Linked DNA regions of Oryctolagus cuniculus. The protein of the gene in region 1 purifies or fractionates together with the protein of each later gene. This does not show direct contact. Links are inferred from orthologs where the notes say so. Each region holds a gene or a part of one and is shown in the gene's direction. Other genes may lie near its edges.

The links.
Region 2: the proteins of TAF9B (region 1) and TBP purify together in Homo sapiens (affinity purification with mass spectrometry; 3 studies listed by BioGRID and IntAct, with this or other methods). This does not show direct contact. The link is inferred for Oryctolagus cuniculus from reciprocal best matches to the Homo sapiens genes TAF9B and TBP.
Region 3: the proteins of TAF9B (region 1) and TADA2B purify together in Homo sapiens (affinity purification with mass spectrometry; 3 studies listed by BioGRID and IntAct, counting the BioPlex papers as one, with this or other methods). This does not show direct contact. The link is inferred for Oryctolagus cuniculus from reciprocal best matches to the Homo sapiens genes TAF9B and TADA2B.

Annotation. Positions count from the first base shown.
Region 1 is NC_091453.1:71,910,733-71,914,464, forward strand, and holds the start of TAF9B (transcription initiation factor TFIID subunit 9B), read left to right. Parts: upstream 1-801; 5' UTR 802-826; intron 827-2,013; 5' UTR 2,014-2,079; coding exon 2,080-2,130; intron 2,131-2,743; coding exon 2,744-2,825; intron 2,826-3,002; coding exon 3,003-3,139; intron 3,140-3,216; coding exon 3,217-3,351; intron 3,352-3,732. UniProt on the Homo sapiens protein: Essential for cell viability. TAF9 and TAF9B are involved in transcriptional activation as well as repression of distinct but overlapping sets of genes. May have a role in gene regulation associated with apoptosis.
Region 2 is NC_091436.1:47,835-51,477, reverse strand, and holds part of TBP (TATA-box-binding protein), read left to right. Parts: intron 1-2,126; coding exon 2,127-2,521; intron 2,522-3,643. UniProt on the Homo sapiens protein: The TFIID basal transcription factor complex plays a major role in the initiation of RNA polymerase II (Pol II)-dependent transcription.
Region 3 is NC_091433.1:3,121,795-3,125,537, reverse strand, and holds the start of TADA2B (transcriptional adapter 2-beta), read left to right. Parts: upstream 1-1,031; 5' UTR 1,032-1,265; coding exon 1,266-1,535; intron 1,536-3,743. Other genes in the region: CFAP184 (cilia- and flagella-associated protein 184), read right to left, coding at 1-637. UniProt on the Homo sapiens protein: Coactivates PAX5-dependent transcription together with either SMARCA4 or GCN5L2.

The DNA of each region.
Region 1 (3,732 bases):
CCATCGGATCAGCGCGGTGCGCCGGCCGCAGCGTGCCAGCCGCGGCGGCCATTGGAGGGTGAACCAACGGCAAAAGGAAGACCTTTCTCTCTGTCTCTGTCTCTCTCTCACTGTCCACTCTGCCTGTCAAAAAAAAAAATAAATAAAATAAAAATAAAAATAAAAAAAAAATTTGTGTCAGCACCTGCAATGCATATCTTTGTGCATGACAAGGACATGTTATTGGGAAGGTCCATGCAGGTGAGAGCAGTAGTTTGAGTGTGTTCCACAGTGGAAAGCAGAAAAAAGCATATAGTTTCAAGAGAACACTTATTTTCAAGTAATTACACATATATAACAAACATATATATTATGTGGCTTTGTGAGGGTTGGCTTTACCTTGTTTTTGTGTCTAGTACAGCTGTGTCAAGTTGGCTCTCTAAAGCCTGGTCACCCTAGGATTATAGTACATTTGGGTGAGGGAAATGTACTATTTGTAAATTGCATAAACAAGAAACTGCTAAACAGTGGTGCCTTCTGTGAATGCAAAATGAAAGGCTGGAACAGGTGAAAGAGGCTTGCTTTTCCTTGCTTTTTCCTAAAATTTTTTTTAATTTTAGACTCTACTACTCAAACAAGGAACATCATTAACTAGCTTCACACAGAAGTTGGCCATGGAGAAGATGGAGAAAGGCGTTCTTGGGAAGAGGGAACGCATGTTCCCACTGGAAACAATGTATTGGGAACACGTGGTTCTTGGGGCGGGGGTTAGGGGTGCGGAGGGGTGCTGCTAATCAAACTCAAGATGGCTTCCTGGAGCAAAACCGAGTCTGAAGACTCCTCTGAGGTAAACCACTCTCCAAAACTTCAGGGTCTGCTAAGCCTGGGAAATCAGTATGAATTTGTGTGTGAGTGTGAGAGAGGGAAAGAAAGGGAAGCCCTTGGAGGGCTTTAAGGAAGTCAAAATTTAATTTGTGGTTGTACGAAAACTGGAGGAGCACTATGAGTATTTGGGGGGGTCAGTTTCTGTAATTTCAGTAAGGCAGTTGGCTTGGACTTGTTATCGTGGTGGAACTGGGCAGAGATTCGGAGAGAGATCTCCCTAACTGAACTTGCTGGTGTGTGGCCGCTGAGGGAAAGCAGCAACATGGCTGCCTCCTCCATTTGCAGTCTAAGATGGCAGATGCTAGGGCATTCATTGGTAGATGCAGAAAAGTAAGAAAGCGTTCTCTGAGTCATTTTAAGCCAGGTGGTTGGCTGGTACGTATTTCTTGAAAGTTACTCGGGCTAGATGGACAGTTCTTAGGTGATTCTAGTGAGGCGGGAGTGGCGGCATCTGTGAGGTAAGGAAGGACTCTGAGAGTCTCCTTTGGGACTGAAAGGAAGCTGCTGAGGACCACGGACCACGGGATGGAGCTGGAGGGGCTCCAGGAGGACCCATGATGCCCGTCAGAGGCGAGGCGCTAGCCTTTCCTGTGATAAGAGCTAACCCAAGTCCTATTGTGCTATTGTGTGGAGAACCAGGCAGGATGGCCAAACTTAGCAAATTTGAAACCAGGACACCCTACTAAATTTGAATGTCAGATCCACAACTAAATCTGTAGTGTAAGTATAGCCCAAGCAATGTTTGGGATATACTTAACACTAAAAGCATGCTCATTGTTGACGTGAAGTTCAAATGTACCTGGGTTCTGTTTGATCATGGGAGCCCAACGCTGGGGCAGGTGGGAGCAGGGAGGGGCCACGGTGGTGGCAGGGGAGATACGAGGGTGGCTCATGTGGTGCCCTTTGCTGGTGACCAGCTGTAAGAAGAACAACTTCTCGGCACTCTTAAGTCGTTCAGCTCCCGGAAGTGTTCCCCAGGGAAGGCTCTCCCACTTCTTGTCTTCCTCCCGATCCAGCTCCTTCTCTCCGCTGTCTGGGGCGCCCGAGAGTGGCTCTAGGCTGCCCCGGCTTCCCAGAGGCAGCGCCTGAGAACTGGCTGCCTGGCCGGCCGCGGGCGGGTGAGCTAACCCCGCCTCCCGGCCCCCGTAGGGGTGGAGCCAGAGCGAGGAGACTGTGAGTAGCCCGCTCTCCCCGGATGACGAGTGTCAGGATAACATGGAGTCGGGCAAGATGGCGCCTCCCAAGAACGCTCCGAGAGATGCTTTGGTAAGTGCGAAGGCTGAGAGGCGGGGCGCGGAGCCTGGCGCGGCAGGGCACCTGTGAGGCAGGCCCGGGCTGAGGGCCTGAGCGCGAGCTCGCGCGCTCGCTTCAGCCCAGCCGGGGCGGCCGGCGGCAGAGTGTGATGACGGTTCGCCTTGGACCCTGAGGAGCTCTCCTGCCGCCCTGGCCGAGCCCAGCCGGAGGGTAGCAGTTCAACCGAGTTTACTGGCCGGCCGCCCGATTTTATCTCCTGGGCCTCGGGCCCCCGCCGCCCAGTCCGCCAGCCCTGGGTTCTGATAGAGTGGCTTCCCCTCCTGCCACATCGAAAATGACAACCAGCTGGAGCCACCCCTACCTCCTCTGGGAACGCCAACCCTGGCCTTTTTTCTCTCTCAGAGCCCTCACCCCCGCTAAAATAAAATAAAATAGAAGTTTTTTGGCGAGAGTGTATGACGTGATTTGGGTGATCACTGACACTTGTTAGCACAATCAGGAGCAGGAGTTTGAAACCCGGAGAAGGGGGTCCTTGTCTCATAATTAGAAATACTAGCTAGCTTTTGTCCAGCCTTCATTTCTGATACCTGGATTATGCATCTGGCATTTCTGTTGGACTCCACAGGTGATGGCACAGATCCTGAAGGATATGGGAATCACAGAGTATGAACCGAGGGTCATAAATCAAATGTTGGAATTTGCTTTCCGTAAGTTCACAAACACCAAAAACTGGTCTGACTTGTGAATTTGAAAAGCTTGTGTTATTGGCTTTCAAAACCAAAATTCATAAACTTTTTAGAAACTAGTAGAACCTTTTATTAAGGCAGTGGCTGTAAATATTAAGTTATCTTCATGTTTAAGAAAAAATTGTTTTGTTATTAAAGGATATGTGACTACAATTCTGGATGATGCAAAAATTTATTCAAGCCATGCTAAGAAACCTAATGTTGATGCAGATGATGTGAGACTGGCAATCCAGTGTCGTGCTGACCAGTCTTTTACCTCTCCTCCTCCAAGAGATGTGAGCAAATATTTATTTGAAGTTAAATTTAATTAACATTTTTAAACTATAGTTCTAATAAGGATTTTTTTCTTTAGTTCTTGCTGGATATTGCAAGACAGAAAAATCAAACCCCTTTGCCACTAATTAAGCCATATGCAGGACCCAGACTTCCACCTGATAGATACTGCTTAACAGCTCCAAACTACAGGCTGAAGTCCTTAATTAAAAAGGTAAGAATGTTAAAAAAAAAAGTATTCCTTTTTTTAAAAAGGTAGAATACAAGGGGAATTCGTAGAAAGCAAATTCTTGTATACAGTGCAGATTAAAGGTTAGGATAATTTTTTAAATGTATTTATTTTTTTGAAAAACACAGAGACAAGGAGGTCTTCCATCCAGTGGTTAACTCCCTCAAATGCCCACATCAACTTAAGCTAGACCAAGCTAAAACCAGGAGCTGGGAACTCCATCTGGGTCTCCCACAGGTGTGCCAAGGACCAAACTATTTGAGCCATCACCTGCTTCGTCCCAGGGTGTGCATTAGCAGGAAGCTGGCATTGGGAATAGAGCCAGGACTTGAACCCAAGCACTCAGATATGAGATGCAGGCATTCA
Region 2 (3,643 bases), on another chromosome or scaffold:
TCCTAGGTGGGTGCAGGGGCCCGAGGACCCCGGGCCATCTTCCGCTGCTTTCCCAGATGCATTAGCAGGGAGCTGGATTGGAAGTGGAGTAGCCAGGATTCAAACTGGCGCCCATATGGGATGCTGGCACCACAGGCGGTGGCTTTACCTGTTACGCCATAGCACCAGCCCGCTCCCCTTTTATTTTCCTGCTACTATGTTGGTGAGGCAGTTTGACACTTTTTGGGGTCTTAGATGTATTTGAGAATGTAACGAAAACTGTAGACCTTCTCCAGAAAATACACAGAATGTCGCATGTAACACTGAGGGTCACAAGGACATCATGAGCTCTTCAGTCTCTGTGGGCTCCCAGGATTTTGGTGTTGCGGGAAAGCATTGGCCTGGGTTTCAGGAAACCCTGGCTGTGATCTTGGCTCATCTACTCATGAGATCTGTGATCTTGGGCAAGTCATTTAACTTGTTTGGGTATGTCAGTTTCTTATCTTTAATATAGGAAAAATAGCTGTTTTGTGTTTCCCAAAGGCTTTTTTGTAAATTACTAAGTGTAACCTTTGTCTGTAAATACTTAGAAGTAAAAAGTAAACTGATGGAGGTAAAGCCCCACCTGCAGTGCTGGCATCCCATATGGGCACCAGTTTGAATCCTGGCTGCTCCACTTCCGATCCAGCTCTCTGCTATGGCCTGGGAAAGCAGTAGAAGATGGCCCACATGCTTGGACCCCTGCACCTGTGTGGGAGACCGGGAAGAAGCTCCTGGCTCCTGGCTTCAGATCAGCTCAGCTCTGGCCATTACAACCAGTTGAGGGTAAACCAGCAAGTAGAAAATTTTCTCTCTCTCTACCTCTCCTTCTCTCTCTGTGTAACTCTGACTTTCAGATAAATAAATAAATCTTTAAAAAAAAAAGTAAACATATATTTGGTAAATTTTGTTGGTTTACCCTTTTGCAAGAGCAAGTGATCAACCTTTTTGAATATTATTCCAATAATCATGATTGTGGCCAATACTTCAGTGTTTCCTGTGTGCCTATCATTGTGTTATCATCTAACCTGGAATGTATCCATTTCAATTGAGATGGGATGCTATCTATATGCTAGGATAATAGGGTTTTTTTTAAAGATTTATTTATTTATTTGAAAGTCAGAGTTACACAGAGAGAGAAGAGGAGAGGCAGAGAGAAAGAGAAGTCTTCCATCCGATGGTTCCCTCTCCCATTGGCCACAACATCCGGAGCTGTGCCTATCCGAAGCCAGGAGCCAGGAGCTTCTTCCGGGTCTTCCACACTCATGCAGGGGCCCAAGGACTTGGGCCATCTTCTACTGCTTTCCCAGGCCATAGCAGAGAGCTGGATGGGAAGTTGGGCAGCCGGGTCTCGAACCGGCGCCCATATGGGATGCTGGTGCTTCAGGCCAGGGCGTTAACCCGCTGCACCACAGTGCCAGCCCCAGGATAATAGTTTAAGCAGAGAAGTATGTTCACTCTGTTTATCTCCCTTATTCTTTCTAATGTTCTCAGATCATTATTATCTGCTAGATATGTTTGAAAGGTTAAGCAACTTTCTCAAGTTCTTGCATGTAATAAGCAGCAGTGGGATTCCAAATTGTAAGCTCTTATTTACTGTTAAAGAAGAAAGTGGGGGCTGGCGCTGTGGCGCAGTGGGTTAACGCCCTGGCCTGAAGCGCCGGCATCCCATATGGGCGCCAGTTGGAGACCCCGCTGCTCTACTTCCCATCCAGCTCTCTGCTGTGGCCTGGGAAAGCAGCAAATGGCCCAAGTCCTTGGGCCCCTGCACCAGCGTGGGAGACCCGGAAGAAGCTCTAGGCTCCTGGCTTTGGATTGGTGCAGCTCCGGCCATTGCAGCCAAATGGGGAGTGAACTATCAGATGGAAGACCTCTCTCTCTCTCTCTCTCTCTATGCCTCTCCTCTCTCTGTGTAACTCTGACTTTCAAATAAATCTTTTAAAAAAAAGAAGAAAGTGATATTTCTAAGACCTTTCTGGTCAAGTTTAGTGATCCTGTTATCCCTGGAGGGGTGTCTGTCTTTATACCTCCTACCTGTTCCACCAGGCATGTTTCACAGACATGCAATACCAGCCAGTCTAACCTGGCATTTGCCTTGCTTTCCACAGGGCGCCATGACTCCTGGGATCCCCATCTTTAGTCCCATGATGCCTTACGGCACAGGACTGACACCGCAGCCTATTCAGAACACCAATAGTCTGTCTATCTTGGAAGAACAACAAAGGCAGCAGCAGCAGCAGCAACAGCAGCAGCAGCAGCAGCAGCAGCAACAACAACAACAACAGGCTGTGGCAGCCGCTGCGGCTGCGGTTCAGCAGTCTACATCCCAGCAGGCGGCGCAGGGGGTCTCAGGCCAGACACCACAGCTCTTCCATTCACAGACTCTTACAACCGCACCCTTGCCGGGCACCACTCCCCTCTACCCTTCCCCCATGACCCCCATGACCCCTATTACTCCTGCCACACCGGCCTCGGAGAGCTCTGGGATTGTACCACAGCTGCAGTGAGTACCATAGCCAGTGTTGTGGGTCTGCTGTCCCTCGCCCTGGAGCAGGGGTGGGGCATGTCCAGCACCAGGGCTGTGTAAGGCCTGTGAGGTGATCTGCTCAGGGCCTGCCAAGGCAGCCTCAGGCACAACTCAAAATTCATTACATCTATAGTAGGCTGATTTTTAAGGTGATAATTTTGTATGACCTGTAAATGATGTTATAAATGCCCAAATGGCCCTTGGCAGAAAAAAGGTTCCCCACCCCTGCCCTAGAAGGTTCTCTTAGAGCTAAATTACTGTTTGTTGTTTCCAGATGGATCCATTTATTTAACAGAGTGGCACTAATGGTAATTGTGTCTCAAAATTTGCTTCACCTCTGCTTAAGAAAGCTGCCTTCCCTTTTTTCAAAAAAAAAGTTTTGTTTTGTTTCTTGTGTTTTTCTTTTTAAGATTTTACTGGGCCAGCGCTGTGGCTCAATAGGCTAATCCTCCGCCTTGTGGCGCCAGCACACCAGGTTCTAGTCCCGGTCGGGGCGCTGATTCTGTCCCGGTTGTCCCTCTTCCAGGCCAGCTCTCTGCTGTGGCCCGGGAGTGCAGTGGAGAATGGCCCAAGTCCTTGGGCCCTGCACCCGCATGGGAGACCAGGATAAGCACCTGGCTCCTGCCATCGGATCAGTGCGGCGCGCTGGCCGTGGCGGCCATTGGAGGGTGAACCAACGGCAAAGGAAGACCTTTCTCTCTCTCTCTCTCTCTCTCTCTCTCACTGTCCACTCTGCCTGTCAAAAAAAAAAAAAAAAAAAGATTTATTTGTTTGAGATGTAGAATTACAGAGAGGGAGAGACAAAGAGAAAGGTCTCTTCCTTTTCTTCATCCACTGGTTTACTCCCCAAATAGCCGCAAGGCTGGAGCTGGGCTGATCTGAAGCCAGGAGCCAGGAACTTATTCTGGGTCTCCCACACGGGTACGGTGGGCTAGCACTTGGGCCATCTTCCACTGCTTTCCCAGACCATAAACAGAGCTGGATCAGAAGAGGAACAGCCAGGACAAGAAATGGCACCCAAATGGGATGCCAGTGCCACGGGTGGAAGCTTAGCCTACTGCGCTGCAGCACCAGCCCCCAAGTTGTCTCCCTTTTTAA
Region 3 (3,743 bases), on another chromosome or scaffold:
GCGCGCGGTACTGCTCCAGGAGCTCGCTGCGCAGCTGGCGCTCCTGCTGCTGCTGCACCTCGGCCGACCACTCCAGGTCCTCGTAGTCGCCCGCCCGCTCCTGCGCCGCCGCCTCGGCCTGCGCGGTCGCCGCCTCGGCCGGCGGCCCGGGCGCAGCCTCGCTCGCCGTGGACGCCCGCAGGGAGGCGCGGGACGGGGCCCTCCTCTCCTCCCCCGCCGCCGCCGCCGCCGCCTCCTCTTCCTCCGCCGCCTCTGGCCGGGCCTCCGATGCCCGCTTGGCCGGCTCCTCAGCCCCGACCGTGGACAGCCTCCCCGGCTCCAGGGGCCCCTCCTCGCCCGCGGCCTCCGGGGCCTCCGGCCCTTCCGCGGCCTCGGCCTGCTCGTCCACGGGGGCGCCTCGCTCGGGGGCCTCTGCCGCCTCTTTCTCCTTCTCCTTGTCCTCCTCCTCCTCCTCTTCCTCCTTCTCCTCTTCACCCTCCCCCTCCTCCTCCGTCTCCGGCCTCGGCTCCTGCTCCGCAGGTTCACCCGGAGCCCGGGGGCCGGAGCTGGCCTCGATGTCGGATGGGCGCCAGGCCAGGCCTGCCTCGTCTCCGCTTTCCTCCATGGTGCTGACCCTGTGCTCCGTGTGGTCGTCCATCTCCGACCGGCTCGGCCAGGGCAGCGGACCTCGGCCGCAGGCTGTTAGGTTTCCCGGGGCAACCAAGGGCGCGCGCGGTGGGCCCGCCGATTGGCCCGCCAGCGGCTCGACGCCACGCCCCCTCAGCCCCGCCCCCTGAAAGCGCTGGCCAATAGCGAGCCGCGAGCGGGAGAGGCACGGAACCGATTGGGAGCGGGCGTAGGCCGGCGCCGCGAGGGGCGTGGCGCTCCGCCTCCCTCCCCGCCCGCCCCTCTCCCACCGCCAGGCCGGGGGCGGGGCGCCGCGCAGGCTCGGGGGCAGGCGGCGGCCGGCGCGCGCGGCGCGCAGGCGCAGAGCGGCGGGCCGGGTCCCCGCGCGGGGCGCCTGCGCGGTGCGGCGGGGCGACGGCTGTGGCGGCGGCGGCGGCGGCGGCGGCGGCGGCCGGGCCGGGCCGGGGCGCCTGCGAGCGGAGGCGGGCCGCGGCCCGGCGGGCCGGCGGCGGGGCGGCGCCTGGGCGGCGGCGGCCGCGGTGGCGGCGGCGGGCGGCGGCGGCTCGTGCGCGGCCGGGGCGGCGGGCCCCGCGGGCGGCCCGGCGCTGACGGCCGGCGGCGCGGCGGCGGCGGCGGCGGCGGGCGGCGAGCGGGCGAAGATGGCGGAGCTGGGCAAGAAGTACTGCGTGTACTGCCTGGCCGAGGTGAGCCCGCTGCGCTTCCGCTGCACCGAGTGCCAGGACATCGAGCTGTGCCCCGAGTGCTTCTCGGCCGGCGCCGAGATCGGCCACCACCGCCGCTACCACGGCTACCAGCTGGTGGACGGCGGGCGCTTCACGCTCTGGGGGCCGGAGGCCGAGGGCGGCTGGACCAGCCGCGAGGAGCAGCTGCTGCTGGACGCCATCGAGCAGTTCGGCTTCGGAAACTGGGTGAGCAGCCCCCGCCCGGGTCCCCGCGGGCCAGCGCGGGGCGGCCGCAGGTGCGTCCTGCGAGGGCGTGGGCCGGCCCGTGTGCTGCCCCGCCGGCTCCGGGCCTGGGCCCGCCGCCGGGCGCTCGGGAGGTGGAGCTGCACTGGACGCGCCCGGGCCGGCGGGGAGAGCCCGGGCCGGCTCCTCGGGGGTCTCCCGGCCCCCCGCCCCCACGCCCGAGCCGGGAAGGGGCACCCACCGCCCCGCGTCCCCCGCGTCCTGCGCCTCTCCGTGCGGTGAGCAGGGGCTGCCTGCGTCTCTGTGCGCAGCCCTGGGGTCTCCGGCTCCTCCGGCTGACGGTGGGCGCTGGGCCGGCCCTTCCCCCCGGAGCCCCGTCTCACTGCCCCGCGCCGGGCTCTGCTCTGTGCCGACGGCGAACGCCGGCCCTCGGCCCAGCCCGCCTTTCTTACAGCCTCGCCCGCGTGTCTCAGCGACACCGCCACTCGGGAGTCCACCCGTCACTCACGACACGCCCGTCAGGACTCCCACCCGTCTCGGGACTCCCACCTGTCACTCAGGACTCCCACCTGTCACTCACGACTGCACCTGTCACTCACGACTGCACCTGTCACTCAGGACTCCCACCTGTCACTCACGACTGCACCTGTCACTCACGACTGCACCCCTCACTCAGGACTCCCACCCGTCACTCAGGACTCCCACCTGTCACTCACGGCTCCACCTGTCACGGCTCCACCGGTCGCTCACAACACCCGTCGCTCAGCACCCCCACCGTGAACGGACACCCACCCCGGGCGCGCCTTTCCAGGACAGGTCCAGGCGCTAGCCTGCCGATGCCCCTGCTGACAGCCCGGCCCTGCCGCGCCCCTGGCGGGGTCCCCGACGGCCCGTGTCGCACACCGCCTGCGTTCGGCCTGCCCTTGCTGCGTGCCCGGTGCGCTGCCCGCCCGCCCGCACGCCCGCACGCGGGCGCTGGAGCTGTTGGCTGAGCTCCCCGTGGGCCTCGCGGGGCCTCAGCAGCCCTGGGCTGGGCCTTTGGACCAACCGGTCCGACACGGACAGGGCTGGGGAGGCGGAGCCTGCGTGCCGTGTGGCGCCTGGGGAGCCGTCCAGGTGAGGGCAGGGAGGGCCCTGGGGCGCGGCTGCCAGGGCCTGCGTGGTGCGGCGCCGGCCGGCCAGGCCGCGGGTGGTGCCGGCGCGGCTCTGGCCTCTGGCTGTGCTGCTGGGCGAGCTGCCTCACCCCTCTGGGCCTCCAGTCTGCGGCTGGAGCCGCGTGGTTCCGCCCGCGCGGGGGGCGGGGTCTCGCTGGGCCACAGCTCCGAGCCGGCGCCTGTCCAGGAGCCCGTGGCTTTTTTTTTTTTTTATTTTAAATTCTATTTCTCTTTGAACCTTTTCGTGATTTTTAATTCTATTTATCTTTGAACTATTTTTTGGTAATTTTTTATTATGTTTATCTTGGAACATTTTAAGGAAGATTTTGCTTTTATTTTTTGAAGGGCAGAGTTGGGTCCTCCGTCTGCTGGTTCACTCCCCAAGTGGCTGCAGTGGCCAGGCGGGGTCAGGCCGAAGCCGGGAGCTGCTTCCGGGTCTCCCGTCCTCGCCGCTTTCCCAGGCCACAGCAGGGAGCTGATGGGAAGTGGGGCCGCGGGACTGAACCAGGGCCCTGATGGAGTGCTGGCGTCGCAGGCGGCCGCTGTGCTCCGTGCACCGCAGTGCCGGCTCCGGTCCCGGGACTTCGTAGGTGCTGGAGCCGGGTGGCTGCGGGCTGTGGGGTTCCCGAGCCTGGGCCTGCCGCCCGGGCTCAGCACTCAGGACCCTCGAGGCTGGGGTGTGGCCAGATCCTGCGCTGGTTCCGTGGGAGCCCACGCACGGGACAAGGACAGGGCCGCGTCGGGGAGGTGGAGGGAGGAGCACGCCAGGCCAGAGGCCCCGACTTCAGCAGCAGGTCCTGGGTGAGGCTCAGCGGGAGTCGGGGGTCGCAGGCGGGGCGGGCTGAAGGCAGCCGAACCATCACAGGAGGGGCCGGGCCTCGAGGGGCCGTGGGAGTCGAGGTTTGAGTAGAATGGGACAAGCATGTGGCTTGTCTGGAATCTGGCCAGCCCGGCGCATTGCCCGTGCGCCCCGGCTCATCCTAGGAGGCAGGGGAGTCCCGAGGGAGGGCTTTCCCCGCGTGATGACAACGGCTGCCCCAGAGCTGGGGAGCCGGGG